Linked DNA regions of Yarrowia lipolytica. The main gene of each other region encodes a partner of the protein of the gene in region 2 in a complex. Links are inferred from orthologs where the notes say so. Each region holds a gene or a part of one and is shown on either strand. Other genes may lie near its edges.

Region 1 (10,725 bases), on a different chromosome or scaffold from region 2:
GACGGGGGGAGGGCGGACTCGACGGCTATAGGAGGTTATGGAACGACCCAAACAGCCCCAAAATGCATTGGGCGACCGCGGGAGGATCTATAGTCACGTGATCCCGACCAGTTGCTCCCTCCTACTGCCATTTTATAGGTTTTGTAGACCCCGTCTTTGGTCGTCTCATACTGTGCTGCTGCTCCAAAGTCTAAATTCTGCCCAAAAAAAAGGCATTCGAAATGCCCATACTGCATGGTCGAGAGCTGGAGATGGTTGATGTAATATTGAATTGATTGAATTTCTGAAGAGAGAATTGTGGTAGAAATAACTAGAGGAGTAGAATGGTGTAAAAATTATCAAGATCGGATGATTATTGGGGGAGTTGGTTGGAGTGAGCTCAGGTGTATAGGGTAGTCGGTAGAGGTGGTTTGAAGGACCCGAAGTCGAAAAGGGCGGTATGAAGATGGTTTGAAGATCCTCAAGTCAGATGCAAGAAGTTTTTGGTGGTATTTAGTTTACTTGGGCAATACTCGATTACTTTTCAATACGCTGAGAGGCACAGTCGGCTACTGTATGTACAGTACTAGTAGCATGTACCATACATGTACCATTGAGTGGTAGATGTACTAACATGCGTCCAGACCAACAATATTGAGGGTATAAAGAGGTATGTTCGATCTTTCTGTTAGGTGTTTGAAAGATACTGTGAATGAACCGTTGTAGTAGTTATTCTTACTATAGGACTCTTCCAATTGTACGAGTCCAACTGAGAGCACGACTTACAGTATTTACTCCGACAACATCTACAGTATGTACTGTACGTACTGTATTCAACTACAGTGTGTTTGGTAACAGCTGGGGGGAAACATCAATTGATGATGCGCGAGTGTGATTATAACGGACAATAATGAAACACTTTCTGTAAACAACAGCTTCTGATTCTCGGCTCGAAACAGAACACGTTCTGTAAACAACACTTCTGATACTCGGCTCTCCTTCTTACTCTACGAAGTATTTTGATGCTGTTCTCGAACTGTTGAAACCCCGAATATGAACATGCTGAGTGATATATTTGCAAGATGAGGTATCAGATTATGGAAGACATGATGAATACCCACAATGACTATTGCCACGGCTCTGTTGGTGCTCTTCAGAGTGCTGCCGGAGTTAGCTCCCACAGATGAGACTAACTCCGAGCATGTGAGAAATCAACGCCAGCAGTTGCGTGGTCTGTCAGTTGAGAAGATGACGTTATAAGTAAACTTCCATCCGTCTGCGTACGCTGACACTTGCCGAATATCTCTACAGTGCCGAATATATCTTGTTCTACGTTCTTGAAACTTCATAAAGTGCCTAGATGACATTTGACCCGATCCACTAACATGGTCAGTATCTAGAGAATTGTCGAGAAAGCCAACTAATAACTCAACTATGATTGCATATCTAAGGAGGACTATAATGTCGACAACAGGGGATATTTCTGCTACAAAAACTTGGATCTAAGAGAAGTCCGTCTTTTTCAAACCTATAGCTATCGATAAGTATACCCACCATCATTCTACTATTGTTATACTAATAGTATCTCCGCAGCGGACATAACAATTCTCCATGGACATTTTTCTTCAACTAACACTTCGACTAATTTGATAGTATAGTGCAGGTTTGAAACAAGAGTCCGGAAACAGACCATCACTGATCACGCGCATGTACACTAATCATCTGCCTTACACATGGAGCTGCTGTAGGTACGATGATGTAGTCATAGTACACACAGTACATACCAGTACTTGTACTTGATGTGGTTGTACTGTAGTCAGAAAGACGGCGCTTTAACTCCAACTTTGAGCAGCAAACATGCACCGACGAGTTGATGAGAGTGGGCGGAGACGGTCGTGATATATAGATAAACCTCTCGTGAAACCGCTCTCTCTCCAAACGCCACAAAACGGCTCTTTCTATCTACAAAACTGCTCCTTCTATCTGCCCACTATTCCACCACTCCCTTCCTGACCTCCCTCTTCGAGATCGTTAAAATTGCTTTAGCGAAATTTTCCCTTTTTTTCCCGTATAATGCCAACCTTATTTAGCGTCTGCACATTCAGTCATCGCAGCTGGAATCTGTCTCTCCACAACCACAGACACGCACACGACGACTCGATATGGACGCCGTGTACACCGCAGTACAACCTCCAATTCATGGCCTAGACTCATCAGCCCTCAGCGGCATTATGGGGTGAGTTAGAGAGGGGAAATCGACCGACCTGGTGTCTTTAGAACTGCTATCATACTAACACAGATGCATTTCCATCGCCTGCTGGATCATTGTTTTCACGCCCCAGATTTATGAGAATGTGAGTATCGGAGATACCGGGAGTGATGCAGACAGAGTGGCAGGGGGATATCAACGAATGGGGTTATTTCGATACGCCGACAAGTTACTTTGCAATAGCTGATATCCAAGATCCGTGGAGTGATTATGGTATGAATCACGAGAAAAGTGACGTTGACTTATGAGCTCCAGTTGCAAGATTTCAGTTTCGGACTTTTGCGGACTTGGATAGAAACCGGTACCAGATGTGACGCTGTTGTCAGTCATCCCCTAACCTGTAGACCTGCTTCCACCATGACCACAAGCAGTCGTTGTCGTTCCCACTAACCTAGTTCAAACGACAATCGTCAGAAGGACTGTCTCTCTCCTTCGTCGTCATCTGGCTCATTGGAGACATCTTCAATGTGCTCGGAGCCATCCTCCAAAAGATCATCCCCACCATGATCATCCTCGCCATCTACTACACCCTGGCCGACATTCTGCTGCTCTTGCAATGTCTGGTGTACACACACAGAAACAAGATGGTTGATCTCAAGCACCTGTCTCCCGCCACACCTCTTCTTGAGGCCGATCCCAGCCACGATGCCGAGCCCCGTCCTGCTCCCGTGACCGAACCCGTGCCGCGAGCCAAGGTCATCTTCTACCGTCTGCTGATGGTGGCCACCGTCATCGCTGCCGGCATTCTGGGCTACGTCTTCTCGTCCAACAACCACAAGGACGGTAAGCCCGAGAAGCCCCACGACGATCCTTTGGAGATGAACATGCTGGGTCAGTTTTTCGGCTGGCTATGTGCTGCCTTCTACCTGGGCTCTCGGGTGCCTCAGATTGTGCTCAACTACGAGCGAAAGTCGTGCGAGGGTATCTCCTTCATGTTCTTCCTGTTTGCCTGTCTCGGCAACCTCACTGCTGTGGCTTCCATTTTGCTCAAAGATACCAGCCGGCAGTATCTCATCATCAACGCCTCGTGGCTGCTTGGAGCCATTGGCACTCTGTTCCTTGACTTTGTCATTTTCTGTCAGTTTTGGATTTACGGAGAGTAGAAGGAAGGGACTGCTACTAGTAAAACGGTTAGAGGTAGAAAATGTATTATATTGTATGGCCATCGTAAAGGACAAACGAGCAGCAGTCTCAGCTCAAATGGATGCACCAGATGGATGAATCAGCTGGATGTAAGGGACATCGATTATAACCATCACAGATGAACGAGTCCAAGAGAGAAAGGCCCCCGGACGTTTTACTGAGATACATTACGTGATACAATATCATGATCATGCACCTATGTACGGCGACCAGTACTCTACAGGACACATTCCATTTTCCAAACCATCTATGCTATCTTACAATTACTTACTGATCGACAATCAACTCGTCGCATCCCCAGTCTTCGAAGGAGCCGTCGGGCAGGTACCTTCGAATCACCAGAGGAATCTTCTTCTGCTGCAGCTCCTTCATGGCGATCTGCAGAGGGTCCGTGGCGTTCTCAATGTCCACGAGAATGGGCGCGTTCATGGAGATTTGCAGCGCTCGTGTACCCAGCACTCGGGCCCGCTCGTACTTGGTCATGTATGGGGTGGTAGTTCGCTCTTCTCGAGGGATGGCCAGTTCTCGGACCGTCTTTCGTCGCACAGCCTTTTCAAAGTTCTCCACGCCCTCTCCGTTGACGATCTGACGTCCGTCCTCGGCCACGTCCGTCTTCACCTCCTCGCCGTTCTCCTCCACATCCGAAACGTGCTCCTCAAACTCCTCCTCGTAGGCGTTTTCAAAGTTGTCGTTGAATCTGTGTTAGTCTGGGCGCTGGGTGCTGGGCCATGTTGTGGACGTAATCGGACGACGCGAGTCACGTGTTCGTCCCCATAAAACGCACGTGATCCCTCCTGGCGCTCCTTACCCCTACTCACGCTTCCTCGTCTCCACCGTAATCAGACATGATGATCAAGTGTGGTACTGAAATGTGGTGATGATGGTTTTTCCACGCAAGGTTTGATGTACTCCCAGTCAAAAAAAAAAACAATCAAAGTTCAATATGACTAAGCTGCAATGGAGGAGGAGCCAGAAGTATTTGGCCCGGGGAGGCGGGGACCGCCGAAGAGAAACAGTCTCGCGACTTCAGAGATGTGGGTTGTTGGCACCTTGTGTGTTCCGGATGAACGTTCTGTCGTCTTGTTTTTTGATTACTTACTGCGCGAGGTTTGGATTATGGGAAAGATTACTTGGAGATTTGTTAAGATCAAAAGTCAGCTGGAGGTTCAAATACAATGTTACAGTAATGGTAGATGCTTAGTATTTATTCCATTTGAATTATACAGCTTTGAGAAGTGTTAATATGAATTAAAATGACTCTCTTGCAATACAAAAAAAGTTGATATGTTGATGCTGGTTTGTGGGAAAGACATTGATACTTTGTTAGAACTTTAGTTGAAACATCTAGGAGTATCTGAGCAGGTTACGACTGCAAGTACAGTACAGTATGTACTCGTGCTTGTTGGTTGTATGTTAGTAACTGATATACAACCAATACAGACGATTTAAATATGCTCACTATGTCTGAGATGATGATGATATCTGATCACGTAATGTGTTGACAATCTGTTCTTCTCTCCCTTCATAACCTGCCAGCGTAACAAGAGGGTTGATCTGAACGGCGTTGAGAATTGCATATCCGAAATTCCAGCAGTCAAACCAACCTAACCGGGTCTGAATAATCTGTTCCCGTCTTTTGTTACCTTGTATCTCAACTATTCACGATTTCACCTCGGTGTCCAACCAGTTTCGGGTAGAAACACACCTGTGAGCCACTCTACTCGTCCCAGGTACCCCATGTTTTGGATATTAATACTACCATGTGAATCAGGGTGATCTCCTCACTTGCTTGGTGTAGTTATCCTCCCTCATTGTCACATACAATGCTGTGTTGCGAGCTACTGCCCGTTTCAATATGAGGGACTGTGACTGCGTATACATTTTGATGATATGACTGTACACGGAGAGGTTATCAGAGTACAGTATGTACTAGTACCGATACTTGTAGATTATCAGAGTATCAGTACTGATACTTGTAGAATTTTTCACTTCTACTGTCACACAATGTCGTGTAGTTGTTGCATCTAAGTGCTATCCACGATAACGAAATCTCGTGAAAATTGTATATAGCAGGTGGAGTTTTCGGGAATAATTCCATTTGTCTCTCTCTGATAGTCCACAAACCCACTTTTCATCCTTGCGGCATCTCTATATCACCAGAATCTTCATCATCAGCCTACTGTCTTCCAACTAACGCCCAAGTAATCAACAGGCTCCGCAACCACCACCCAATCCGCTATGAGACCTTGTAATGACTCGTAGGACATATGATAGGCCCCGGTGGCTCACTCTGGGCCCACTTGCGTCTCCTGCAGGCATTCATGTCATTCGTATTTGGTTTGCACAGACGCTGTCAAATGTATGCTACAGGATACAGGATGTAAGGTGGCGAGCGGAGTGCGAGAGAGAGCGTGAGGGTGTTACAATGGCAACTAGAAAGGCATGGCTTGTGGCAAATCCAGTGGACTTTCCTTTTTATGAACGCTCTGATTGGCTAGTTAAAGACACAGGGCGTACATTTTACCCACTTCGCCGCTACCGGTAGTGCTCGCCAACTCCATTACCGTTTCACAACAGTAGGTACAGTACCAGCGGCATGGTCACTGCTCCCGTACACCACCCTGACCCAGCTAAATATATTTTTCGACAGATGCATGTCTTATGTACCGTGACGCAAAGTGATTTTGAGGAATTCCGGGAGTAGGGGGACATGGAGGGATCATTTTGGTCACGTGAAATTGTTTCAAATGTCTCAATTTGGTCACAGCTCCATTTTCAGACTCGTTGGTGGCGATTCGGCTCTTCTGGAACGTACCTTGGGCCATCCAAAAAAAACGAGGTACCGTTGGGAAAAATGAAAGTTAACGCCTTTATTTTTTTCTTGCTTGGGGGGGGAAGGATGAGTGTCCACGAGGAAGACGATAGAAGCTATGCGAAAGATGTATTTGTATCGCAGTAAATAGCGGCTCAAATCTGAATAATCTGCACTTTTCAAAATTTGAATGTATCCCCCAGAGCGTTATCTACAGGACCCTCTACCCCCACTCAGCCAAATAAAGTTTTGATACAGGATTTTTTTCTTCCCCCTACATATATAGCGATCCACCTCTTGTTCTCTCGAGAGTCAGCTCTAAGAGCATGTTTCACGAAGCAGAATTGTCGGATACTCCAGATGGCATCACGCACTATGACCTTCCGTCCCGGCCAACGTCCGCGGCGTCTTCGGCGTCGTCGCCGGTGTCCTCCGAGTGGATTGAGGTGAAGGACGCCCATGGCAACCCCAAACGAGTGCCAGAACGCAAGGGTCTGTTTTTCCCGACCCGTGGAGAGACGTACGGCGATGCGTGGAACGGCAATGTGCCCAAGGAAAAAACCACCGTCAAACGGACCCTGGCTCACGTCTGCCCCGAAGAGGGCTGTGACAAGGCATACAGCCGGCCATCGCTCCTAAAACAACATCTACGGTCCCATTACAACGAGCGGTGCTTTGTGTGCACTTATGAGGGCTGTGGCAAGGGCTTCTTCCGCCGCTCGCATCTCAAAGCCCACACAAACAGTCACACGGTGGCCAAACGATACCACTGCTCGTTTTGCGCCAAGGGGTTCAACACGCGCCAGCACCTGCTGCGTCATGAGGTGACCCACAAGTCGATAAAACACTGCCCACACCAAGACTGCTCCAAGCAGTGTCGCACCGAGGTGCAGCTGCTGGAGCACTGTGTGGCCGACCACGCCACCTGGAAGCACCAGTGTACCTATCCCGAATGTGGACGCGCTATTGGCTCCGAAAGACAGATGCAATACCACTGGGAACGGGACCACAACCAAACGCCGCAGTACAAGTGTCCGCATGACGAGTGCGAAGAGGTGGCCTCACAGTGGATCAAGCTGCAGAAGCATGTTTCAAAGGCGCACAACCGGTGGCTGTGTCACCATTGCGAAGGCATCTTTGACGACGTGCAGTCCATGTACGAGCATGAGAAGAGCGTGCACGGTCTGTCTGTTCTCTACAGAGGCGGCCACCGGACTCCAGGCTACGTGCGGCAACTCTGGACGTGCCCTGAAGAGTCATGTGGTCACCAATTCTTCGACAAGGACCTGTATGCCAAACACTACGTGTCGCACAACAAGGCCCCTGTTCGCGACATGTTTGAGTCGGTGGCTGAGTACGACATTACACCCGAGATCATTCCGTACTTTGAAAAGCCCGAAAAGCTGACGCGAAAAGGCCGTTCAGAGCGAACGAGTCTGGAGGGCAAGTCTGGGGAAGAGGAGTACCAGTTGCCTAGCGAACGCCCAGCCAAACGACAACGGCGAGAGGTCTCCAAACCCACAAACACCGCTGCCAGCATCGTCGACAAAATCACCGGAGCCGGCTACTCGGACTCTCGAACCATCCCTTGCGTGGTCGAGACTTGTATGCATCGGTTCAACCGTAAGTACGATCTCGACCGCCACGTTGCTGCCAACCATGCCACCAACTGCGCCGTTTGTCCGTTTGGATCTCACATTCTCACCGAGGTCCGAGACCACATGAGCGACGAACACCGCACCGAGTGGCCGGCAGAGTGCTACCAGGCCTCCCCAGACGCCCACATCAAAATCCATCTTGCATACCTTCGTGGAGAGACGCCTGAGGTTGAACCTGTTAACACTACCTCTCAGAACATGTACAAAAACCTGCATTATCCTACTCCTGGACTGCGCAGAAACGCCCCCCGAGGACAGTCCAACTCCTCGTACAATAGCCCACTGCACAGCCCCATCATTCAGGTGCCGCAGCGTGCACACTCCGAGAGCCCTATGCACATGTATGGCAACTCATACCAACCCATCCAACACACCAGCCCTATCAGTGTGACTTCATACCCTACCCAGACTCCCACTCCGGGATCCATCGGGTCTCCTGCTCCACTACAGCAGCTCAATGAGGCTGTGGAGTACGCTCCATTTGATTCGTTGCCGCTCAGTGCCATGTCCTCGGCCTACGTGTCGCCTGCCCTGTCTCATTCGATTCTGGCTGGCGGACATGATATGGAGTACTCGTCCAATGAAGAGGTCAACTTTACCAAGGACTCTATTGACCCGGAGTTGTTCCGACAGTAGGGGGGAAAGCATCAGAAAAAGAACGTTAGCATACATAGATCAATAGCATATCATTTATAATGGGAGCGGTAGGGAGCGGTCGTGACTAGGTGTATACTGAAAGGATCAATATCAAAACTATCACCTTGTGGTCAAGTACAGACCCACAAAGTTGCTAACAAACGGTACTTGTTAAAAAATCTTGAATCTTCGACAGAAGAGAATATTATTAGTACAAAAAAAGATATTTTCTGAATTCTGTTACATCAGCTACAGAACCAACCCTCTCTCAAACCTCCACCTTTTTTTAGAGCCCCAAAATGAACCAACTCCCATAAAGAGCCAACAAGCGAACTAAACAAGGATACACCCAAATGGTGAACAGATGTTAGAATAAATGAAAAAGAGATACACCACAGGCAGATATCAAGTTGATCAAAAAGAGTGCAGTAATTCAGTTCCCTTCTAGTATCCGTATCATCCCTCTGCATTGTATGTACTATCTGCTGTACGTTATGCGCTGATGAACTGTCTACACCACACTCGTATTTTTTCTCTCCATTACTGTAATAAATATAAATACCAATACCTGGCTGCATGCTGCATCTCTGGCGCTAGCTAGGTGTCAGCCTCGGCTTCCCCCCTAGGATTCAGCGCCTTGCCAGTTCTTATCCTCCTCCTTGACCAACACCCCCATGGTCGCTTCGAACTCGTCGGACAGACCCTTGGCCTGAAGGAATGCCTGCAGACGATCGGCTTTGGTGGTCACCTCGACCAGCTCCGTCTTGAGTTTGCGAATGTAGTCAATGGCGTTCTCGACGGTGTTGGCCTTAGATGTAGACGCCGACTCGGGCACAAGCAACTTTCCGAGATCGGCAAGCGCGTTGTTGATTCGGTTTCGTCGGCCTTGTTCCGCCAGCTTGTGCGAAGTGCGTTTGGAGGCAATGTTCACACTCAGATGCTCAGGATATTGGAGTCCCAGAGCGTTGTGCTTGCCCTCAACAATGTTCTGATAGTTGGACTTTGTCGCCAGAAGCGTCTGGTAGTCCAGGGACGAGCCCTCGGACATCATGGGCTTGATTTGAGGAGAGATCTTGGGCATGAGTGCTGGCGAGGCAGACACGGAAGAGGATCGTCGCGAAGGAGGCTGGGGCGCAATCTTACTGCTACCAGGGCCGTTTCCTCCACTGCTGCTGCCTCCATTGCTGCTACCACTGATGCTGCCCTTCTTGCCACTATGCTGCTGCTGTTGTTTCTTGGCAGCAATCTGAGGTGTCGACGAGACACTACTGATGTTTGTGTTTGGCGAGATGTTGGCGTCGCTCATGAGAGGAGTGGCACCGGTGGACGCCAGTGAAACAGACGACCGCGAAGAAGTCAGGTTACGAGTCACTCGGATGGCGTCCTCCAGCGCGCTGTTGGCGTCCTTCATATCAATGTCCTCGTTCTGGCCCTTAGGGAGGTCCATTAGAGTTGAGGGAGTGGCCGGTTTCATGTGACCCGAAGAAGACGACGACGAAACCGACGACCGGGTTTGCGGAGGTGGCATGACAATGTCCGGCAACGACTCGGGTGAAATGCTGTCTGAGGACCACGAGTCTTTGTTTCCGGAAGCAGACACCAAAGGGTTCACCAATGGAGAACCTCCCACGGAGTTGGGGCCTGAAAGAGATCCTGCCCGGGCACTTGCTCGACCGGTGGGTCGGGTCATCGGCGACATTTTGGCCACCCGGCCAGCCACGGATGATGCTCCAGATTGAGGACCCATCACGGGGGTGCCTCCGACTGGAGTGGCTCTTCCGGACCGAGCCTTTCCTCCTCGAGGAGCAGCAGCTCGTCCGGCCACAGAGTTTCTTTTTCGCGTTGCCGAAGAGGGTGCAGATGCCGATCCGCCCTTCTTATCGTCATACTGCTGTTGCTGCTGCTGCATCATGACACCAGGGTGTCCATCTGAGGGCTCCAGGGACAGGAAGGCATTCGGCATGGCGAAATTGAGCGAGTGGCCACTCATGGGAGGATCAAAGGACGATACTGCTGGGGATACCAGCGGCGTGAAAGATCCATCGTCGTAGACGTTGGCCAGGTTCTGGTTCTGGGGGTCCATGGGCTCCGACAGCGGCGAGTGGAAGATCTCGTTAGGGGTGATTCCAGGTACCTTCATTTCAAACGGGTATCTCGCATTGTTTCCGTTGGAGCCGTTGTTTCCCCCATTACCACTGTACTTTTGTGGCGGCTGGCCTGGAGGAGTC
Region 2 (10,979 bases):
GCCGGCTGGTAAGAATACGCCTAAGAGCAAGTCGACTGGTTCCAATGGTGTCATAACCATTGATGAAGAATATTCGGCACCTGAATAAGGATTATGATTTATTAATAATTTACACGTAGAAATACAGTACTTGTACAAAACACAGCCTGCAACTTATAAGTTAGCCCTATCACACAACCATCTTGTGTGTGTGTGTGTGTGTCTCTCTCTCTCTCTCTCTAATCATCATCGATGGCAGCAGCCGATCTAGACACTCCCCACTTTTCTCGGTCTCGTCCGTCTTTGTACATGTTGATATCTTCCTTGGTTGGTTTCTCCATGGTTGCCTGTCTGAGGTTCTCATCTTTCAGGGCCTGTTCTTCCTTTTTGCGCTGGTCCGATTTCAGTTGCTCAACTGTGTATTCAGCAAACGCCTGAGGCTCAATTGCTCCACACAATAGTTCCACGGCTATTGTGGAGTTCTTACTCTTTAAACTCACCAGGCGGGTTCGGACGGCCGACTTGTATTCCGGCGAGATTCCGTAGAGGTCAAAGAGTCGCTGTTCGACCTCGTTTGCCACCTGAGTCGAGATTTCGTCGTCCTCCTCGTCTTCGTCGGCGGCTTCTGCCAGGGCCTTTTGCAGCGACTTTTTCGTTCCGTTTCGCACCTCCATGGGCGATATCGCCGACACCTTTTTTGTGCGCGCCTCGGCCTGTGATTTCAGGTACTTTTGCTTCCAGTTAGTCGGCAGCTTGGCCATGTCTATGTGGTTCTTGAGAGGAAGGCAGGTGTGTATGGAGGGAGCTTGGATAACTTGGAAGAAAGGTGCATGAGACAGGCATGAGGGATGCTGGGATCAGGTTATGAGGAGTGGTGAATGGAGAGATTTTTCTGTGTTCCAGAGCAACAGTATGACCAATCAACATCTTATGATATCACCACTGTGGCCGCCGTCTCATTTATCTCTTTCATTCCTGGGCTAGTCTCTGCCTACTGTCCAGCTCGTCATGGGTTACCCTGCATATGCAAGATAGCGAAATTTTGGCAGGTCTGGAATTTTTTTTGACTACAGTTTGACAGAGTGCAGGCTCGACTTGAAACAGTACACAAACATGGCGAAATTATCTCTGGCCGAGCAGATTTCTCAACTGGCTAACCCCAAGCCCAAGGATGTGGATATCGAGAACTTTGAGGACCGTGACGATGGTTCCGAGAGCGGTGGAGACGTGGATTACGACAGTGATCTAGCGACAGAGCACTATGTCAAGGTCGGCAAGAGCAAGCTGCGAGATGATGCTCCTGCTCTAAACCCCAAGTACAAGGCCGGCAAGGTGAGCAGGAAGGCTCTTTATGACGACGAGGACGAGGACGGCGATGGCGCTGACGGTTTCATTGATGAGGACGACGAGGACGATGAGGAGGACGATGAGGAGGGAGAAGGCAATGGTTTCATTGACGACGAAGTTGAGGTTGATGAAGAGGACCAGGACGAAGACGGAGATGAAGACATGGAGGATGAGCAGGATGAGGACGAGTCTGACGAAGAGCTGTCTGAGAACGAGAATGACAGCTCGGCTAGAGCCACCCTCAAGGAGCTGCTGAGGGAGGAAAAGAAGGCGTCCAAGCAGCAGGCCAAGGAGGCTATTGTTTCCGACGCACAAAAGGGATTCGCCATTCACAAACAGACCGATCTATACGAGACACTTCTGGACGCGCGAATCACATTCCAAAAGGCAGTCCAGTCTGCCAACGCTCTTCCTATCAGCGATACTAAGGCCGAGGAGCTCGGTGAAGACATCACCAACACTCTTCAAGACACAAAGGCAAAGTTGTCGGACTTCATCTCCCAAATAGCCAAGATGCGACACAACATGGCTGTGCAGGACAATGTGTTTGCTGCCGACTCCGTCAAGCTATCGACCAAGCGAACTTTTGATGCCACTCTGGATAACATGGACAAGCTGGATACAGAATTCAAGGCATACGAGACTTCTGTGCTGAGCAAGTGGTCTCAGAAGGTGCAGGCCTCATCTGCGGCCTCCGCTCTCAACTCCTCCAAGTTCAAGGCTCTGAACCAGTCTTCTGCCAACCAGGTCGCTGCTACTCTGGCGGACATGGACCGACTTGTCAAGCGAACTCGAATGAATCGATCCAACGTTGTCATTCTTGGCGAGGAACAGATGGGCGCCATTCAGGACGCCGAGGGCGAAAACTACTACATCTTTGATGACTCAGACTTTTACCGAAACTTACTCAAGGATCTGATTGACCGACGAATGGTGGATTCCGGCTCTCAAAGCAGTGGCGTCAAGACCTGGACTGCCACAAAGGCCAAGACCAAGAAGAACGTGGACACAAGAGCATCCAAGGGTAGAAAGCTGCGATACCATGTGCAGGACAAGGTGCAGAACTTTGCTGCTCCCCGGCCGGTTTTCACCTGGGAGGACGATCAGATCGACGAGCTGTTTGCCGGTCTTCTGGGGCAGCGAGTCAACTTCAACGAGGACGATGATGGAGAGGAGAAGGAGAAGGAAGAAAAGGAAGAAAAGGAGGAGCAGGAGTTGGTTATTCCCGACGACGGTCTCCGAATCTTTGGTTAGTATCAGTGGTTTTAGCATGGGGTTTTAAGTAGATGTACTTTAATAATAGAGGCAGGTGCCAAATGAAAATGAAGAGTATACAGGGCGTATTAAGTAGTGTAATAAGAATAAATAGTAGTAAAAGTACAGTATATACTGGCATTATTGTTTGGCCGGTTTCTTGATCCCTCTGAGTTTCAATTTCGGCCGTGGCTTAGACTGTAGCGTTCTGGAGAGCTCTCTAGTTTGTTGTGCAAGTGATCCTTTCTGCTTGGTAGAATCAAACAGTCCACCGTGGGATAGAGACTTCAACCTGAGTTCTTGCTCCGCCACTAAACCCCTTTCCAGGTGAGGAACCATCACTTGCGCTTCCTTAGCAAGAGGTAGATCCCGCAGAAGTCCCATTTTGTCCTTGAGAAGGTTGTCTCTTTGGTCTTGGGCTTCCAATGCGCGTTTTTGACCTCTGAACCTGTTCCTCATCTTATATGACAGGTCCTGGTGGTATCTGGCTTTGTCCAGATGTTCATCATACATTTTCTGTGTCTCTTTGGCCGCGTCATCAGCCGAAAGCACCGACGATTTGAAGGTCCATTCAGCGATTGTCTCTCTGCTGTCTTCGGACTTAATATGACGTTGTTTGAGCTCCTCCTCGGCCTTTGCAGCCCTTTGTTTGACGACTTCACGCTCGACCGCCTCAAAAGGGTTGCTTGGAGTTTCTTCCTCTCTCTTCACAACCGACTGTGTGAAGGTAGCTCCTTCTACGGTCACGTAGGTAGCGTTCTTCGGATCCGTCTCAATGACAATGGGATGTCCACACTCAGCATGTTTGATATCAAAGCGCCAGATGGGAGACGACAGATAGCTGCCGTGGCGTGTTTTGACCGCGTTGAACCGTACTCCTTGAGCTATGGTCTTGTCACATCCATGGCATTTGGCAGACAGAGGAAGCTCGAATCTGACAGTTGGTTTGCGCGGATTCGCTCCCGCAAGCTGGTTGGCGGACGACTTGCCGTCGTAATCTGGCGGGTAGTATTTATTGGTCGCTTGCGACATTCATGGGTGTTGTCTAAGTGTTGTGTATTGTTGGCTACAATTGATTTTATTTTCTCCATATGCAGGTTGATAGCGATGAGGTTATTGATAGGCATATTCTAAGTATTTTTGTTAGGAGTACAGTTGGTAGTTACTTGGACCAGGTGGAAGGCAGTAGAACTGCGTGGAACGAGAGCATGGCCACGTGGGGAACTTTTAAATAGCCATTTCCTCTGGGAATCGTCAGATTGTTATTTCTATCCAAGTGACCATTTATCATCCCTCCTTCCATTCTGTTGCCACCTGATTACTAAGTGCAACCGCGCATCTGCACATTGCCACCTTCCACCTAACCTCCATCAAAGCCAAAAGTCCCACACATCAAACACCACACGACACCACCACCACAAACCACCACATACAATGCCACCAAAATCTGATTGGGAAAAGTACAAGGCCCCCATCGACGAGGATGCCGCGCAGGAGAAGATCATTCCTCTGTCCGAGGGCGACATCCAGGTACTCAAGACGTACGGAACTGCTCCCTATGGTACTGCCCTCAAGAACATCGAGAAGGACATCAAGGACATGCAAGCACGAATCCAGGAGAAGGTCGGCATCAAGGAGTCCGACACAGGTCTGGCCCCGCACCACCTGTGGGACACACAAATGGACAAGCAGCGAATGAGCGAGGAGAATCCTCTCCAGGTGGCTCGATGCACCAAGATTATCGAGACTGCTGAAGACCCCGGAAAGAGCAAGTACGTCATCAACGTCAAGCAGATCGCCAAGTTTGTCGTGTCGCTGGGCGAGCGAGTGTCGCCCACAGATATCGAGGAGGGGATGCGAGTGGGAGTCGACCGGTCCAAGTACCAGATTCAGCTGCCTCTGCCACCCCGAATCGACCCTTCCGTCACCATGATGACGGTCGAGGAGAAGCCCGATGTCACCTACTCGGACGTGGGAGGCTCTAAGGAGCAGCTGGAGAAGCTGCGAGAGGTTGTCGAGCTGCCTCTGCTGTCTCCCGAACGATTCGTCAACCTCGGAATCGACCCTCCCAAGGGTATTCTTCTATACGGACCCCCCGGAACCGGTAAGACTCTGTGCGCACGAGCCGTGGCTAACCGAACAGACGCCACTTTTATCCGTGTCATTGGCTCCGAGCTAGTGCAGAAGTACGTTGGTGAGGGTGCCCGGATGGTCCGAGAGCTGTTCGAGATGGCTCGAACCAAGAAGGCTTGCATCATTTTCTTCGACGAGGTCGACGCCATTGGAGGAGCCCGATTCGATGACGGAGCCGGAGGAGACAATGAGGTGCAGAGAACCATGCTAGAGCTCATCACTCAGCTCGACGGTTTCGATCCTCGAGGAAATATCAAGGTCATGTTTGCCACCAATAGACCCAACACTCTAGATCCCGCACTCCTGCGTCCCGGACGAATTGACCGAAAGGTCGAGTTCTCACTGCCAGATCTCGAGGGCCGAGCTAACATTTTCCGAATCCACTCAAAGAGCATGTCTGTCGACAGAGATATCCGATGGGAGCTCATTTCGCGTCTGTGTCCCAACTCCACTGGTGCTGAGCTGCGATCCGTGTGCACTGAGGCCGGCATGTTTGCCATTCGAGCCCGCCGAAAGGTCGCCACTGAGAAGGACTTCCTGGCTGCCGTCGAGAAGGTCATTAAGGGTAACCTCAAGTTTAGCAGTACTTCTCAGTACATGCAGTACAACTAGTCTGTGAAGATAGAGGTAATAATAGATGATGTTATGATAATGGTACAAGCACTTGTACCAATGAGTAGAGAGACGCGCTTTGTGCTGTAACAGACAACGTAGACTTGTATGTAATGCTTATCCTCAATCGTTTTTGAGCGGTTGACCATCTCGTCACTCGAGGTAACTGGCCGCAAGTACATTGATAGAGGTCGATGATACGTAATTCCTGATGTTGTATAAAAATGCGATTTGTGACTTTGTCTATCTATATAAAACCCCACTGCTTCTTAGCAGTCCTATTTCATAATCAGTCCTTTTCTTTGCGTTTGCTTGTTTGTTTTTGTTTGCCTTGTGTCCATACTCCAAGGAGCACAAGAGTGTGCCCGGAATACAGAGTGCTGTCCGGAACACCTAATAATGCATATATATATCCTCCTCCAACCGTCAACCAAGATGTACCTGAAGGAACATGGTTCTGTTGATTACTCCCACCAAGACACCAGACCCATGCCTTCTCCCTGGCAACTGGCAATCAGAGAGTAAGGAGGAACACCTGGCTTCTCGGGGTCCTGCTCGTCGTTAGGAGCAGCACTTCCAGCGTAGCCCTGCTTGAGTGGAGGCAGGTCCTGGAACTTTTCTTGTTCGATTCGGAACCGGATCTTTTCGTTGGTATCCAAAAACAGCTCCTGCTCCTCGTCAGGACACCACATCCAGGCCTGTTCTCGGGCGACAAACTGCGAGTTTTCAAACAGCAGGTGTGCGGGGATAAAAATGTCGTCGAAGAACTCCATCTTCACCTTGATTCCTTCCGCGGTACAGCTGGAGATCCAGCCCTCTAGTACCTCTCCCACAAACGGCCGGAAAACCACCATTCTGAAGGTGATTTTCACAAATGCAGCACCGTCGCCGGACATGACCTGGCCTTCGCCGACAGTGATCAGGTCATAGACACAGATGCACAGACCCACTCCGTCGATGATTTTGTTAGCGTAGCAGTTGTTAATCTCGTCCACAATAGCGTCGTTGAGCGGCTTTTTGAAGCTGGTGGGATCGAGTCGAATGAGATCTGTGAAGCGCGTGAGAATGAACATTGCGATGGATGAGACCCAACTCAGAGACAATCTTGATGATAGTTGCACGGTGTAGCTGGATATTTTTTAAGGTCTGCATCGCACTGCATATCCCTAACCACATCTTCACTTTTTCTACACAACTCCCAATGTCGCTTAGTAAGAGTCGGTACCAGCAGTGCCCACGATAGTCACCCCTAATAAGGACAAACGTACAAATTCCCAAAGCGGAATAACCTCCTAGAAATACGGAGATAACCGCTCTTCTCCATTCGGACACCTTAGCACCTTAATTTCGAATATTCACACATACTGTACTGACAAAACACACAAGAAAAAAAAAAAAAAAAAAAAAAAAAAAAAAAACCCAGGCCACTCCCAAGGTAATTAAACCCAACGCAATTGGCCATGACACCCGTCGACGAGGCGGAGGATACGAGCAGCTCTAGTGCCATTTATACACTACCCTAACCCGGGCCGATATGTCGACCGACCAACAAAAAAACGTCAACCACAGCCCGACAGTAGGATCGCCCCCAAGTCGTTGAAGAGGCATGGTCACCCAGCAGTCGTATTTTAGGTGTTCTAAGCCTGTGATTGTAACGGGGATCGTACCGGTACTGTGAGACGGGCAGAAGAAGCAATTACGTAAGCTGGAGGAACGCCCGCAACCCTCACAACCGCCGCGTTGGCACTCGTATTGCACTTCCTTTCCTTAGGGGTTGCTGCTAAAAAGTGTCTCCGTCATTCCCCACAATAATTCTCCGGAAAACCTTACGGGGGTTAAGCCTAGCCCAATAGGACATGGTGCGAATGGGTGTGGTCATACCCCAGAGGTTTCGTGGGGCTACCGTCAAGATTGTGACACCTGGCGAGTTGGAAAAGTATCCCATAAAGTATGTGAATAAATTAATTCGGATTCTCCACGTCTTCGTCTTGCCGAACCCGCCAATTAAACACCGCGAATCTTGATCCGGTTCATCCCGGACGTGTCCAAACTTTGTTTGGTGAGTATTAGGTCGCATGTCATTGGCCAATGGCCCGCATTACCTAAGCTCGGTGGGCTTTCAACTGGCCGCACGCAGATTATTTCTCTCTCTCTTTTTGGTTAGACCATACAAGTCGATCTGAGTCGGTGAGTAGCAAATTGCGCGGCGGAGGACGGGGCGCTTCGAGGCACATTGACGGCAGCCATTCGTACCCACGATGTGGACGGTCTTGCCCGGTATCTCTCAGTGCAACAGGTTTTTCGTTCGGCAAAAGGAGAAGTGGGACACCCAGCAGCTTGTTTGGCTGTACGCGTGGCGAGCATGTTGGCAAGCGTGAAGGAGAGAGGTTATCACAAGTGCGTTGGCGTGACGATGACAACGGAGCCTATGCTTCGCAGCATCATTCTTATGGTCCACTCTTCTGTCGGTGCCATGGTTTGGTGGTTCTCTCGTGGTATGTTAGACAACACATTCAGTGTGACATGTGGATATGTGAGGTGTGAATGAGAGCAAGTGGTACAGACACGAGTTCAGTGAAACAAGAACCAATGCTTAAAGGTACACGCGAACCTGACCGGTGTTGCTTCTTTCACCCAGTTGCTGGGATACTCTGAATGTCAGACTGTCTTGAAAATTTCAGTCTGTCAACCGCCGATGCTCTCACAGTCTATCCCCACAACACACCCTCTGATACCACAACCACTATATACAGTCACTGCGGACCACTCTGCAGTAAATCATCCAGACAACTATTCTCTACCTACCGGAATACGCAAAACACCTCTCCACCCCACAACGCCTGCAGAAAACCCCACAACACAACTAACACAGAAATGCTTAGAGCTATCAAAAACCCCCGAGCCGTTCTCAAGTCTCGTCACTTCTCCACCTCCCCGGTGGTGGCCAAGGTCTTCGCCAACGGCCCCGTCAAGGCCCAGGAGGCCCCCTCCCACGTGGCGTCCAAGTACGCCGTCGTCGACCACGAGTACGATTGTGTTGTTGTTGGAGCCGGTGGAGCCGGTCTCCGAGCCGCCTTCGGTCTGGCCGAGGCTGGCTTCAACACCGCTTGTATCTCCAAGCTGTTCCCCACCCGATCCCACACCGTCGCTGCGCAGGGAGGTATCAACGCCGCTCTCGGAAACATGCACCCCGATAACTGGAAGTGGCACATGTATGACACCGTCAAGGGTTCCGATTGGCTCGGAGACCAGGACGCCATCCACTACATGACCAAGGAGGCCCCCAAGTCCATTATCGAGCTGGAACACTACGGTGTTCCCTTCTCTCGAAACGACGAGGGCCGAATCTACCAGCGAGCCTTCGGTGGTCAGTCCAAGGACTACGGTAAGGGAGGCCAGGCCTACCGAACCTGTGCCGTTGCCGACCGAACCGGCCACGCCATGCTGCACTCTCTTTACGGACAGTCTCTCCGACACAACACTCACTTCTTTATTGAGTACTTCGCCATGGACCTGCTCATGGAGGACGGCGCCTGTGTCGGTGTCGTTGCCTACAACCAGGAGGACGGAACCCTGCATCGATTCCGAGCCCACAAGACCGTTCTGGCCACCGGTGGTTACGGACGAGCCTACTTCTCCTGTACCTCTGCCCACACCTGTACTGGTGACGGTATGGCCATGGTCACCCGAGCCGGCCTTCCCCTCCAGGATCTGGAGTTTGTCCAGTTCCACCCTACCGGTATCTATGGCTCCGGCTGTCTGATTACTGAGGGATCCCGAGGTGAGGGAGGATACCTGCTCAACAAGAACGGTGAGCGATTCATGGAGCGATACGCTCCCACCGCCAAGGATCTGGCCTCCCGAGATGTCGTGTCTCGATCCATGACCCTGGAGATCCGAGAGGGCCGAGGTGTTGGCCAGCACGGCGACCACATCTTCCTCCAGCTGTCGCATCTGCCCGCCTCCGTGCTCCACGAGCGACTCCCCGGTATTTCCGAGACCGCCGCCATTTTCGCTGGTGTTGACGTTACCAAGGAGCCCATCCCCGTTCTCCCCACCGTTCACTACAACATGGGTGGTATCCCCACGCGATACACCGGTGAGGTCCTTACTCAGGATGAGAACGGTCAGGACAAGGTTGTCGAGGGTCTGTTCGCCTGTGGTGAGGCCGCCTGTGTCTCCGTCCACGGTGCCAACCGACTTGGAGCCAACTCCCTGCTCGATCTGGTTGTCTTCGGCCGAGCCGTTGCCCACCGAATCACCGAGACTCTTACCCCCGGTGCTCCTCTTCCCCCTGTCTCTGCTGACATTGGTTACGAGTCCATTGCTAACCTTGACAAGATGCGAAACGCCGACGGTCCTCTGTCCACCGCTACCATTCGAGACAAGATGCAGCGAACCATGCAGATGGATGTCTCCGTTTTCCGAACCCAGGAGTCTCTTGAGGATGGTGTCCGAGGTATCACTGCTGTTGACCGACTCATTGACCAGGTTGGTGTCACCGACCGATCCATGATCTGGAACACTGATCTTACCGAGACCCTCGAGCTGCAGAACCTGCTCACCTGCGCCATGCAGACCGCCTACTCTGCCGTCGCCCGAAAGGAGTCTCGAGGTGCCCATGCCCGAGAGGATTACCCCGACCGAGACGATGTCAACTGGATGAAGCATACCCTCTCCTGGCAGGATAAGCCCGGTGACGAGATCAAGCTCGGCTACCGAGCCGTCCAGATGCACACCCTCGATGAGTCTGAGTGTCCTACCGTCCCTCCCGCCAAGCGAGTCTACTAAGTGTAGTAGGGTTGTCTGTCTGTCTACTAAGCATGTATATGAAATGAAAAGTACGTTAATGGAATTATCCTGTAGTGACGAGTTATCCGATAGATGCAAATGATTTAGTATCTGTTCATACTCTAGTATGTTACAGCTTATTAGGGACGTCGAGCATTCTCAGAAACTGCTCGGTTTGAGGGTTTTTGTATTTTGGTAGTTGTTTCTGCTGAGACACATTGTGAATATCAGCTCCTGTATACACTGGAGCTGTCTGGACAAAGTTGTTGGGGATGTCTAACTTGCCTTTGTCGACAATGTTCTCCTTGACCCACGCATAGTCGTCTTTGACCATCTTTCTGAGAGCTTGCAGTTCATCCAAAGTTCGAGGATGTGCTTGGTGAAGGGCGTGTGATCTGGTAAAAAGGTGGTTTGTGCATCTCACAATAGACAGCCATTCGGGGTCGTATTGAAGCCCATCTGAGGTAGGCTCATGGTCAATGTCGAGTCTTTCGATGAATTGGCGTTTAGGAAGACATTTATCCAGTGCTAGAAAGTCAGTCTTTTTGGCCAGAGGTTTCTTTGCTATCACGGGAGTGGCTTCATCATGTGTGGTGTTTGCATCAATGTCGGTTTCACCTTTGACGTCCTCGGAAATATCAATCTCTCCAGTCTCTCCACTGTCGATGTCTTCAGAAATGTCGATTTCACCTGTCTCGTGGTTCGTGTCTTCCAACTCATCAAGAACTATTTCGTCTGGGTTCTTGATTTCAGGAGAAGATCTCTGTTTGGTGGCTCCATTCGCCGCCTCCAGCTTCTCGTGGTCGACAGTGGCGACAAACTTGCAATGAAGATGTGCACTGAGCCATTGGGCAGGCTTCAGC
Region 3 (10,540 bases), about 1.2 Mb from region 2:
AGTACAGTACTTGACTTGAAGGAGACTACGATTACCTATAAGGAGCCTGGATCCAAGTGGTCATGTTCATACAGATGTGTGAAATGTCAAAGGGAAGACGTTTTGATTGACTGAATTGGATACTTGATTCGTGAATGTCAAGTAGTACGTATTTATCACTGAACCTGGATTGGAGCTACAACAGTTTTTGCTTGGTACAGCTACTTGTAGATTAGTAGTAAGACAGGAGCCGGTGCTACTGTATACGGTGTACGAGAAAAACTGTTCTAAGTACAGTATTTGTACTTGTAGTATGATGGAGATGGAGTGGATTGACTGGAGAGTTGTGATTAATCGGATGATGGTGTTTATGGGGGCTTGTCTAGTGCCCAAATGACCTCGAAAACGTCTACAACGACTGTTCTTCCCACTGTTATACACACACTTTTGCATGTTCATGTTCATGTTCATGTACAAGTAAATGGTCCATATCTGCCGAAAAAACACCCCCAAATATGTGTCTAGCGGACATAAAGAGCCGTTTAATTCACTTGTTGAAGTGATTTTTCTTCTTCTGATCCAATTGATCCACTAGAGTCTTCTCTCTCGCCTCGTGTTACTGCTGCGACATATGTTCAGATAAAAACATACCAGATGCTTTGGTACATAAATAAAAGATTGTAGATAGATATTGAGCACTTGTGTATTCTTCCAAACAACTTCTTACTTCTCTAGTGTACTGCCGTCGCCCATGGTGGTCCTGGAACAACATCTTAGGCTCTTCAAACACATATCTCCGTCACTGGAGCTAGAACCAGAAGAGAAGGGTGTATGGGGACTTCAAATATGTATTCCAATAGCTCATAATGACCGGATTTAATGGTATTTTCTTGACATTTGAACCTCCTCGAGTATTTCAGATGGTTCTATGCCATCATGACACTCGAGACTCACTCCACAACACACGCTCAAGCACCAGCAGAATCAATAAAAATATACAGTCGCATGACAATTTCACCACAAAAAGCCAACTGCAGCTTTTGGAAAATATTTTCCTCTCCTTCCACGAGATTCCGCAGGATTCTACCGCTTAGTCAGCTTATCCAAGACAAGACGCCTCGCCACGCATTAAAGTTATCCCAACTTTTCTCTACTCTTCGAAATCTTGATTTCTTCTGCTAAGTGCACATTCAGATCAACCACAAAATCAACAACAATGCAAGCTCCTGTCGTTGTTATGAGTGAGTATTGCGTGCTACCGCGTCCCACGACTTGCCCCGTGTTGTCCGCGACGGGTTTTGCGGCACAAATCGCCACCTAGGTCTGGTGTTATGCTCTACGTGTAACTCCAACATGACTAAGAACACCATGCGAAATGGTACCCGGTGGATACAAAAGGGGCCGCAAAAACACAATCGACGAACAACTACTAACTGCAGACGCCGGCCAGGAACGTCAAATCGGACGAAAGGCCCAGACCAGCAACATTACTGCTGCAAAGGCGTGAGTATGGAGTGTGGAGGGTGGAATTGGAGGGGTGGACGGCCTCTGAAGCAAATTGGAGGCAAATTGGGGCGTTTGGGGTAGCTGTTTTACCCTTTATATGTTGTTTGGACTTCCAATTTGGCTGTGGACAGCTGCTTCGGCCATCTTTTCTTATAGGGCGGACATTTGATTTGTGGTGATATCAAGCTGTAGAGTCGTGTTTGGGGGAATGCAACACCACCATTGAACTCCTCCCGACGAGTCGACTCCGCCGGTTCCATCATTACGCTTATCCAACATCCACCACCCTCAGAAATGTCACTAACCCAGTGTCGCCGATATTGTGCGAACGTGTCTTGGTCCCAAGGCCATGCTTAAGATGCTTCTCGACCCCATGGGAGGTATCACCCTGACCAACGATGGTCACGCCATTCTGCGAGAGATTGAGGTCACCCATCCTGCAGCCAAGTCCATGATCGAGCTGTCTCGAACCCAGGACGAGGAGATTGGAGACGGAACCACCACCGTCATCATTCTTGCCGGAGAGATTCTTGCTCAGACCTTCCCCTACGTGGAGAAGAACATTCACCCCGTTGTCATCATCGCCGCCCTCAAGGATGCACTTGCTGAGGCTCTCAAGGTTGTAGAGGAGATTTCTGTTCCCGTTGACGTCAACAACGAGGCTGCCATGAAGAAGCTCATTGCCGCCTCCATCGGCACCAAGTACGTGTCCCGATGGTCCGAGCAGATGTCCTCTCTGGCTCTCAAGGCCGTCAAGACCGTTGCTGTCGACATTAACGGCAAGAAGGAGGTTGACATCAAGCGATACGTCCGAGTGGAAAAGATTCCCGGAGGTGAGATTGAGGACTCCCGTGTGTTGGACGGTGTCATGATCAACAAGGATATCACCCACCCCAAGATGCGACGGCGAATCGAGTCTCCCCGTGTGGTGCTGCTTGACTGTCCTCTCGAGTACAAGAAGGGTGAATCTCAGACCAACATTGAGATCAGTAAGGAGGCCGACTGGAACCGAGTGCTGCAGCTGGAGGAGGAGCAGATCAAGGCGCAGTGCGAGGTGCTGCTATCGGTAAAACCCGACCTGATCATCACCGAGAAGGGTGTGTCTGATCTGGCCCAGCACTATCTGCTTAAGGGCGGCTGCAGTGTGCTTCGACGAATGCGAAAGAGCGATAACAACCGAATCTCACGAGTCACTGGCGCCACCATCGTCAACCGAATCGAGGACATCAAGGACTCCGACGTTGGTACTCTGTGCAACCTGTTTGAGATCTCCAAGATTGGTGATGAGTACTACACATTTATCACAGGCGAAGACCCCCAGGCATGCACCGTGCTGCTGCGAGGACCCTCCAAGGACATTCTCAACGAGATTGAGCGAAATCTGGCTGACGCCATGGCTGTGGCTCGAAACGTCTTCTTCGAGCCCAAGCTGGCTCCCGGAGGAGGTGCTACAGAGATGGCTGTGTCCGTGCGACTGGCCGAGCATGCCAAGACCATCGAGGGTGTTGCACAGTGGCCCTTCAAGGCCGTGGCTGATGCCATGGAGGTGATTCCCCGAACCCTGGTTCAGAACTGTGGTGGTAATGCCATTCGAACTCTGGCCACCCTGCGAGCTAAGCAAGCCGAGGGTTTCTCCACATACGGCATTGACGGTGACAACGGAAAGGTTGTTGACATGAAGGAGTACGGCGTGTGGGAGCCTGCTGCCATCAAGCTGCAGAGTATCAAGACCGCCATTGAGTCTGCTTGCTTGTTGTTGCGAGTCGACGATATCGTGTCTGGAGTTAGAAAGAAGGGCGAGTAAAATGGGTTTGGATAATGATATTATAGATGTTTTGCGACACACTGCAGTGTAGTCATACCGTTTACAACACCGATACTGCCTTTGAAAGTTGATGGCTCTGTACAAATCTTGGTGTAGACATTGGGCTGATACTGTATACACTCCGATGAACAAGACCACAAAGAGAAACAAAACTGGTAACGGTATTTATGACACTATCAACTCTCGTGTGTACTTGTACTTGTACTTGATTGATCAATCGTTATTGTTCATTAAATTATATGCAAACGTGTCCTCCACACTTTTCCGTAGTATACATTGTTTTGGGTGTGTCATGGTTGAGTCGACTGCCAAAAGCCTTGTCTTCGGCATCTGCTCATTGTGAACTCGCTATTCAGCGATAGCATCCTCTTCACTGACCAGAGTTGTTCTAATCGCGTCCAGAATCTCCTCACATTGGTCCTCATTGTAACGCTGATCGCACTCCTCGATCAGGGAGTATAACGACACGATAGACGTGGGCACGGAGTTGATGAGCTGCAATCGCTCGGCCTTTTCGAGCCCCAGATGGTTGATCTTCTGCAGAAACAACGTAATGGCCTCTGGCGACTGGCTGGCAGCAGGAGACTTGTTGAGATAGTCCTTGAGCTCGTAGATGACGGTTTCGAGGTTTTCGGCATGGGAAGTGCCCTGGTTGGAGGCTGCCGACGCGGATTGGGACATTCGTCGGGCACGCTCCTGGTCCCGCACGTGAGCCAGCACCTCAAAGTTGGACAGCAGAGCCTCTCGAGTTTTTTCCACCTTCATGTTGTTGATAATACTGGTATATTCACGACAACACTTTTTTTCTGAATTATGCAAGGTGTGCATGAACTCACAGCATCTTAGGAGATCCACACACGTGAGTACAAGGCTGTAAGATGTGCCAAGACACCCGAAACGGATATCTGTGTCACTGTGATGCTGTATTTTTGAATACTCTCGGATCGGTAGATTTTTGCCCTTCTCAAATTGTGCGCTTAGTAAGCAAGACCACAATCCCAGAGCTGGTTTAATTTAAGCTTTGGAACTCCCAAATTTAAATGTTTTACATCTTTGGGGATCGAACCTACGACCGCACGTTGTCCTCCTGCCTCTGTTTTCATGGCTCTTAGGGCTAACCCTAAGTGTCACATGATATTTCCGTTTTGGATAGAGTTGGACTCGGAAAATTGCAAACGAAAGTTCAGTGTGTAAAGCACCAGTTCTTTCATCATCACCGGTCGACCCATAACTACACGCCAAAATGTCCCTCGTCGTCACTGAACAAGGCAACTTCCAGCACATTCTTCGGTATGTACAGACAGCACAGAGAGAACAGGGAGAGAATTTATTACACGATTATTGAAGCTCGATATGGTGGTTTGTGATGGAGATACAGAAGGCACAGAAGGTCAATGATGAGTAAAGACGGGTCATGCGACATGGAAAGGACCAAGCAGACTGAACATGTTTGAGCATTTGTTCTGCGTGTTTACACTATGTGTTCTTACCTGTTTGCGTACATTTGTCTGACTGTCAACTTCTGCCTACCACTTCGTTTTTATGATGCTTGAGATTTGATGGATCGTGATCAGTCTCATCAAGGGCCACTAATCGGTGATCACTCCCTTCAGCCACTAGAAAGTATTTTGCTAACTCAGACTCCTCAACACTAACGTTGACGGCCGAATCAAGGTCATGTACGCCATGTGCAAGATCAAGGGTGTTGGTCGACGATACGCCAACCTGGTCTGCAAGAAGGCCGATGTCGATCTCTCCAAGCGAGCCGGTGAGCTCACCGTCGAGGAGCTCGAGCGAATCGTTACTATCATCCAGAACCCTGGTCAGTACAAGATTCCCGGCTGGTTCCTTAACAGACAGCGAGACTTTACCGACGGTAAGGACTCCCAGCTGCTCGTTAACCAGCTTGATGTCAAGCTGCGAGACGATATTGAGCGACTCAAGAAGATCCGAGCCCACCGAGGTCTCCGACACTACTGGGGCTACAAGGTCCGAGGTCAGCACACCAAGACTACCACTCGAAAGGGTAAGATCATGGCTCACCGAGGTTAAAACGTGCATGTACATGTAAAATTATTAAAATGCTATTGAGGACATGTGTAGGGCTGACCAGGTCAGGCCGCGGTTTGTAGCAGGACATGTTTGGGCCGTTTGGCTGTGTGTAGACAAGTACTGTACCACCATTCCCAGCTGTGTGTGACGAGAATCACAGGTTCAAGTGCAGTGGATCACATTGGACCTTCTGCGTGCAAATCTGGGTATATCGCACACTGTGTTGAGCAGATAGCAGTCTCATCGCCTACACATGTGATTAAATATGAATAAAATTACTGTACAAACACCCTAGAACAAGTCGGGCATGTCAATGTCGCCGCCAAAGTCCATGGTGAAGTCGTCGCCTCCAAACATGTTAGTGTCCATAAACTGGTTGTCAGTGTTGGAGTTTTGCGACGAGTCGTTGATGGGCTTATTCTCAACCTCGCCCGTTCGGTTCACCACAAACGAATAGTCCTCTTTAGCATGTGGTTTGCCGTCCAGACGACTTCCGTCGGGTTTGTAGCCTGCTGTAGTCAACAACTGCAGAATCTTGGACTGCAGCAGCACGCAAATGTCCTTGCTCTTGCCCGTGGAGTCGTTGACCATGTTATCGAGTGACTTGAGAATGAGCTGTGAGTCGGAAAACGGTCGTGGACTCTTCACAGACGTGGAAATGATGAATGCAACCGTAGCAATCGTAGCAACAACTTCCACGGTATAATGGCCTGTGCCGTTGGAGTCCGCCAGCGCAATCTCCTCGATCAGCTGCTCCAGAACGTACTTATGGCCCAGAGTGTCGACCGACGACAGGATCATCACAAGCTCGTATCCAAACGGGGGACCCGTGTACTGGTTTTGCGACCAACTGATGAGTGACGACACCTGCTCCTTGATGGTGGCAATCATGGAAGCACCGTATTTCCACGTCTGCTCCTTGGTACCACTTCCTCCACCCCCACTCATACCGATTCCCTTTTGCGATCGGAAACCAGAAGACGACACTGTTCGCTGCACGTTGAGATTGTAGTTGATGGCCGAAACAAAAGGCTCGAGGAACTCAAACACCCGGTTTTCAACCATGTAGCCTGCCCTCAGAGCCATATCCAGAGCCTCGTACATTTCGTCAGCACATATAGCCAGCACCATTTGATGAATAGGAGACAAGACCTCAATGTCAGTGTTATCGGTGAGAATTAGAGTGGAACAAACAGATATAACTGTACTCATCTGCTCGTCGTGTCCCTTTTGCGAATGCACCCATAGTTGTTCCGACAACCACTTGAACACTCCCACTGTTGATCCCAACAGAAAGGGCTGCAAAAAATACTCCAGGCCTCCCTTGAAGGTCGACAGAGAAAGTAGGCCCTTCTCGTGGGCGAGCATGCTTTGTTGAAAAATGGCAGGGGTGACAAGAAAGAATTGCTTTACGGATGACGATCGCATTAGATCGTCGGAGATGCCTCCAGCGTCATACAGAGCGGTAGCCCATCCACTGAGCTGGTCGTTCTGTTCGTCGGAAAGATGGAAAATGCGTTGTGAAGAGTCGCTTTCTGTGAGAAGCTGTGACAGAAACAACTCGTGTGATGGCATGGTGCTGGAGGGCGAAGGAGCACCCACAAAGAGTGTTCCAAATTGGTTCAACAGGGCCAAATCGAGATGATAGCGCTGCTTGAGGGTGATGGCAAAGACCACAATGGCTCCAAAGTCCGTGTAAGCTTCTTGGTAGTTGGCCTCGTCCTCCTCCTCTCTCCATAGCTCAATGCAGTCGACCAGAGCCTTGAGTAATAGCATGGGATCGACACAAAGGGCCATAATGTCGACAGCAGTTGTGTTCAGTGCCAAAGCTTGGCACATGTATCGTACTGGTCGAACGTTTCCTGCCTGCACAAAGTCTGCCAGGCACACTAGCAGCCGTTTGGTCAGCGCTTCCTGTGCGTTTCCACTCAGCTTCTCCATCTGAGCGACCACCTTGGACATGAGACAGTCGGAAACAGACCCAATCTCGAGATTCTCGTAGCTCAGCTGCTCTGCCATTGTATCTAGGCTCATAGCCTGTCCGTCGATCGTCAGCTCGTCTGCGTAATCGAGGGCTTCTACGCTGATTCCTGAGTCTTTGAAAATCGCGTTGAAGGCGTCTTTGGGCAGAACTCCTTCGGAAATGCATGCAGCAACCAGTTCGTGTCTAATGTCAACGTCCAGGCCACCCGGGAACGAGGAGAACATGTCGTCTAATTCGTCAGAACCGATGGAAAGACGAATAAGGGTCACGGTAGGCTGATCCAGGCCCAGAACACTTTTTGAGACGACGGATTGAATGAGCGTCTTTTCCTCGGGTGTCGAGTGCGGGAACAAAGTGCGAATAATGCGCGGGATTCGTGTTCGGATGCAGCTTTTCCAGTAGTTGTTTCTTTTGGCAGAATCTCGTCGCAGAAAAGTGATGCTCTGACAGTCAAACATGGCGCAAATAACCTCGCCAATGATTGCCAGACGAGACTGCACGGGCTGCGAGGCCAGAGTGGGGTACCCGGGCATGGCATAGACCGTGCTGATGAGCTGGAACAGGGATCCATACTGGTTCCAGGATGAGTCTCCAAACATGAGGCTTTCAAACAGCGTGTCTCTGTAAAGTCTAGTGAGAGTCGTGGGTGTAGCCACGGTTGCCGCTACTGTTTCAGCTGTGGTGCTGGTCTTAGCTGCGCCCTTGAGACCCATCCAGGCTTCGCCCAGTCTTCCGGCAATGGTAGCATCGACCTTTGCTAGTTCTGCGAGCTGCGAGGTGATCTCGGGAGCAGTCACTCCGGCCATTCTGTCTCCGAGTCGGGTCAACAGGACCTCGGCAAAGAACCCGAACCCCTTGGCGATAGACGTTCCATATCTCTTTCGCATCCCACCTCCAGAAGCAAAGGCGTCCTTCATGAACGAAACCAGAACCTGAATCAAGTAGCTGTAGCCCGCATTGGCACCCAAATCCACGTCTGTGTCCATTTCCTGAAGCTGTTTGCCCAGATACATGAGCAGCTGGGGAAGACGGCCATAGGCACACACCTTGAGGTACGCCAGAAGCTTGTAAGGGGGCAAAAGACTGTCTTCAAACGCCAGCTTGTGCACATATGCAAAGAACAACAAGTCGAAGGTGTTGGCTCCAAACAACGCCTTGGGATTCACTTCCGAGGCGCCCTCATTTTCCATCAAATGTCGAGTCAGCTTGACAAACTGTGTTAGTAAGGCAAACCGTCGAATTGAAAAACAGAAAGTCACATGACTCCATAGTCGTACTCACCCTGCCCGCCGACACTCGCCGAGCCAAACACACCCGTGTCAACGTCGCCAGCTTGTCGTTGAAGTCCATGTCGATGAAGTGATGATTCGAGGTGCGACTCCCGCATCTAACTGTACCATGCGGAAACTCAAACTGATTACTAAGATGAAGCGCTTATGGCATGGATTACAAAGAATGGTGACAATTATGGAATCGCAACGGCTTACTTATCGTAACATTTGTGGAATATCACCTGACCAATTCTGCAGTACATAGCTCTCCTTCTTCATGACAAATTCTCCCCCAATCCACTCCATAGACAGTCTTCGGGATATGAGACAGAACTATGTAGAATGTACTGTACATTGTACAACTGGAAACTGGAGACTGGATAGGTGTGACCACGTGACCAGGTAGCTTGGGAGTCACGTGATGTGTATCTACGTCCCGCCCCTCCTCCCCTTTGTTTTATTCCGTCACGTGACTACACACCTACCAGGTTCACTCCACCCGCTAAGTTCAGATACGCTCGCACTGTAAAACGGCCGCTGACTAGGCACCGCTGTCATGTGAACAACCTCAACTTCAGCAGTCTTCGCCGCACGTGTGCTGAGAGCGGTTTGCATGATGAGCGTCAGGCGGAAGCGGTCGTTGAGATGTGTTAATCCATTACTCGTAGTCTACTTGGATAGAACATGATCTACTTCCACGGTCGACTTTTCAACTACTAATTACGAGTACGAGTACTACCATTGGAATGACAGACTGTATGTAGACAACTCAGACGGCTGGACTTTTGTTGTCTACAGCAGTGGTGAGCAGGTGGTTGGAGACCTCTTCATTGGCAAACATGTCTAACCCCAAACACACTGCCTTGGGCCACATGTTGAGTCTTCGACCACCACCCTACTGTTGATGAAGTCTCGAACACACGCTTGCCATATGCTATCCCCAATGCTACCTGTACAGTACCCCTGGCCACCACACTCAATGCCACCATGTCTCACCGGCTGAGTTCACAGAGCATCCTCTATACCCTCCAGCTCTACTATCACTATACATTAACTAGTTCTGAAAAGCAATATAAACGACCAGCAACACCACAAAACTGGCCGCAATTTGGACCGTCAGCACGTTACCAGAAGATCTGGATTTGGCTGGATTAAGCGAAGGACCCGTGGTCCCATTTTCGCTGATGATAACGAAAGAGCCATTCACAGTAGCAAACGAGCCGTTGGTTGCACGTGCGTTGGCCCTCGAGGGAATGGCTGCTTTGGTATCCGTGTGGTATCCTGATGGGGTATCGTTGGTATCAAGGAGGGGCGGAACAGGCACAGCCTTGGATGGAAGTCCTGTGGCGGTATCAGCAGTGGAGATGGCCGTGGGAGTGACCTGAGCATCTCGAATCTCGGAGCCCACAAAACCAGTAGGGCTATCCAGAGCACGTGCAAAAATCCGCTGGTTGCCTTCGTACCGGTCGGTCGGCTCTGCGTCAAAATCGCGGTACTTGTCAGCAACTGCAAGGCGCGTGTTAGTAGCAGCAGCACCGGGGACAAAGCGAGCAGAACCAGTTCGACCAGCGAACATCTGAGCAAACCAGGGGAACTTCTTCTTCGACATGGTTTGGGTAGCTGTGGGGGCGCCGTACTTCTTCGTGATGGTCTCGGTCTCAGTCTCAGTCTCGGTACATGTCTCAGTAACGGTATCATAGTAGCTAGTAGTGGTGGTGACGTATTTTGTAAACACCTTCTTGACAATCTTGGTCCGCGTCTTGTACTGAGTGGTGGTCGATAACGAGTGGTCACAGTCAGATTTGGGCACGTCTTCCTTGTCCTTGGGACACTTCTTGCACTTCTTGTCGTGGCAAGTATCAGGGTTGTGGGGTTCCTTGTCTGAGTCCTTCTTCTTTTTGCACCACTTGCACTTCTTCTTCT

What was found.
Region 1: YALI1_D14276g (region 2) and YALI1_F07675g share a complex: the UniProt entries of both Saccharomyces cerevisiae proteins name them as parts of the RNA polymerase III (Pol III) complex. The link is inferred for Yarrowia lipolytica from reciprocal best matches to the Saccharomyces cerevisiae genes RPC25 and RPO26.
Region 3: the proteins of YALI1_D14276g (region 2) and YALI1_D26142g are in contact, whole or in part, in a cryo-EM structure (PDB 7Z0H), measured with the Saccharomyces cerevisiae proteins. The link is inferred for Yarrowia lipolytica from reciprocal best matches to the Saccharomyces cerevisiae genes RPC25 and RPC17. Residues at the interface, in NP_012778.1 of Saccharomyces cerevisiae: Phe2, Ile3, Leu4, Ser5, Lys6, Ile7, Ala8, Asp9, Gln17, His19, Arg20, His28, Asn31, Asn32, Lys33, Phe34, Ala35, Asn36, Lys37, Ile39, Asn41, Val42, Cys45, Ile46, Thr47, Ile48, Tyr49, Thr71, Arg73, Lys78; in NP_012523.2 of Saccharomyces cerevisiae: Met1, Lys2, Val3, Leu4, Glu5, Glu6, Arg7, Asn8, Ala9, Phe10, Leu11, Asp13, Glu15, Val16, Phe19, Leu23, Arg48, Pro49, Tyr50, Asn51, Pro53, Glu54, Leu55, Ile58, Asn61, Val62, Asn64, Tyr65, Ile68, Asn71.

What each region holds. Positions count from the first base shown.
Region 1 is NC_090775.1:763,448-774,172, forward strand, and holds YALI1_F07675g (uncharacterized protein), read right to left. Parts: upstream 4,239-10,725; coding exon 4,210-4,238; intron 4,089-4,209; coding exon 3,659-4,088; downstream 1-3,658. Other genes in the region: YALI1_F07655g (uncharacterized protein), read left to right, coding at 2,142-2,215, 2,279-2,333, 2,644-3,351; YALI1_F07699g (uncharacterized protein), read left to right, coding at 6,530-8,497; YALI1_F07747g (uncharacterized protein), read right to left, coding at 9,120-10,725. UniProt on the Saccharomyces cerevisiae protein: DNA-dependent RNA polymerases catalyze the transcription of DNA into RNA using the four ribonucleoside triphosphates as substrates.
Region 2 is NC_090773.1:1,423,075-1,434,053, reverse strand, and holds YALI1_D14276g (uncharacterized protein), read right to left. Parts: upstream 6,399-10,979; coding exon 5,790-6,398; downstream 1-5,789. Other genes in the region: YALI1_D14391g (uncharacterized protein), read left to right, coding at 1-88; YALI1_D14333g (uncharacterized protein), read right to left, coding at 219-740; YALI1_D14329g (uncharacterized protein), read left to right, coding at 1,093-2,580; YALI1_D14304g (uncharacterized protein), read right to left, coding at 2,722-3,612; YALI1_D14300g (uncharacterized protein), read left to right, coding at 4,015-5,325; YALI1_D14260g (uncharacterized protein), read left to right, coding at 7,981-10,116; YALI1_D14224g (uncharacterized protein), read right to left, coding at 10,247-10,979. UniProt on the Saccharomyces cerevisiae protein: DNA-dependent RNA polymerase catalyzes the transcription of DNA into RNA using the four ribonucleoside triphosphates as substrates. Specific peripheric component of RNA polymerase III which synthesizes small RNAs, such as 5S rRNA and tRNA.
Region 3 is NC_090773.1:2,610,041-2,620,580, forward strand, and holds YALI1_D26142g (uncharacterized protein), read right to left. Parts: upstream 4,139-10,540; coding exon 3,659-4,138; downstream 1-3,658. Other genes in the region: YALI1_D26114g (uncharacterized protein), read left to right, coding at 1,355-1,482, 1,795-3,289; YALI1_D26146g (40S ribosomal protein uS13), read left to right, coding at 4,554-4,600, 4,951-5,362; YALI1_D26186g (uncharacterized protein), read right to left, coding at 5,654-8,560, 8,628-8,696; YALI1_D26218g (uncharacterized protein), read right to left, coding at 9,672-10,540. UniProt on the Saccharomyces cerevisiae protein: DNA-dependent RNA polymerase catalyzes the transcription of DNA into RNA using the four ribonucleoside triphosphates as substrates. Specific peripheric component of RNA polymerase III which synthesizes small RNAs, such as 5S rRNA and tRNAs.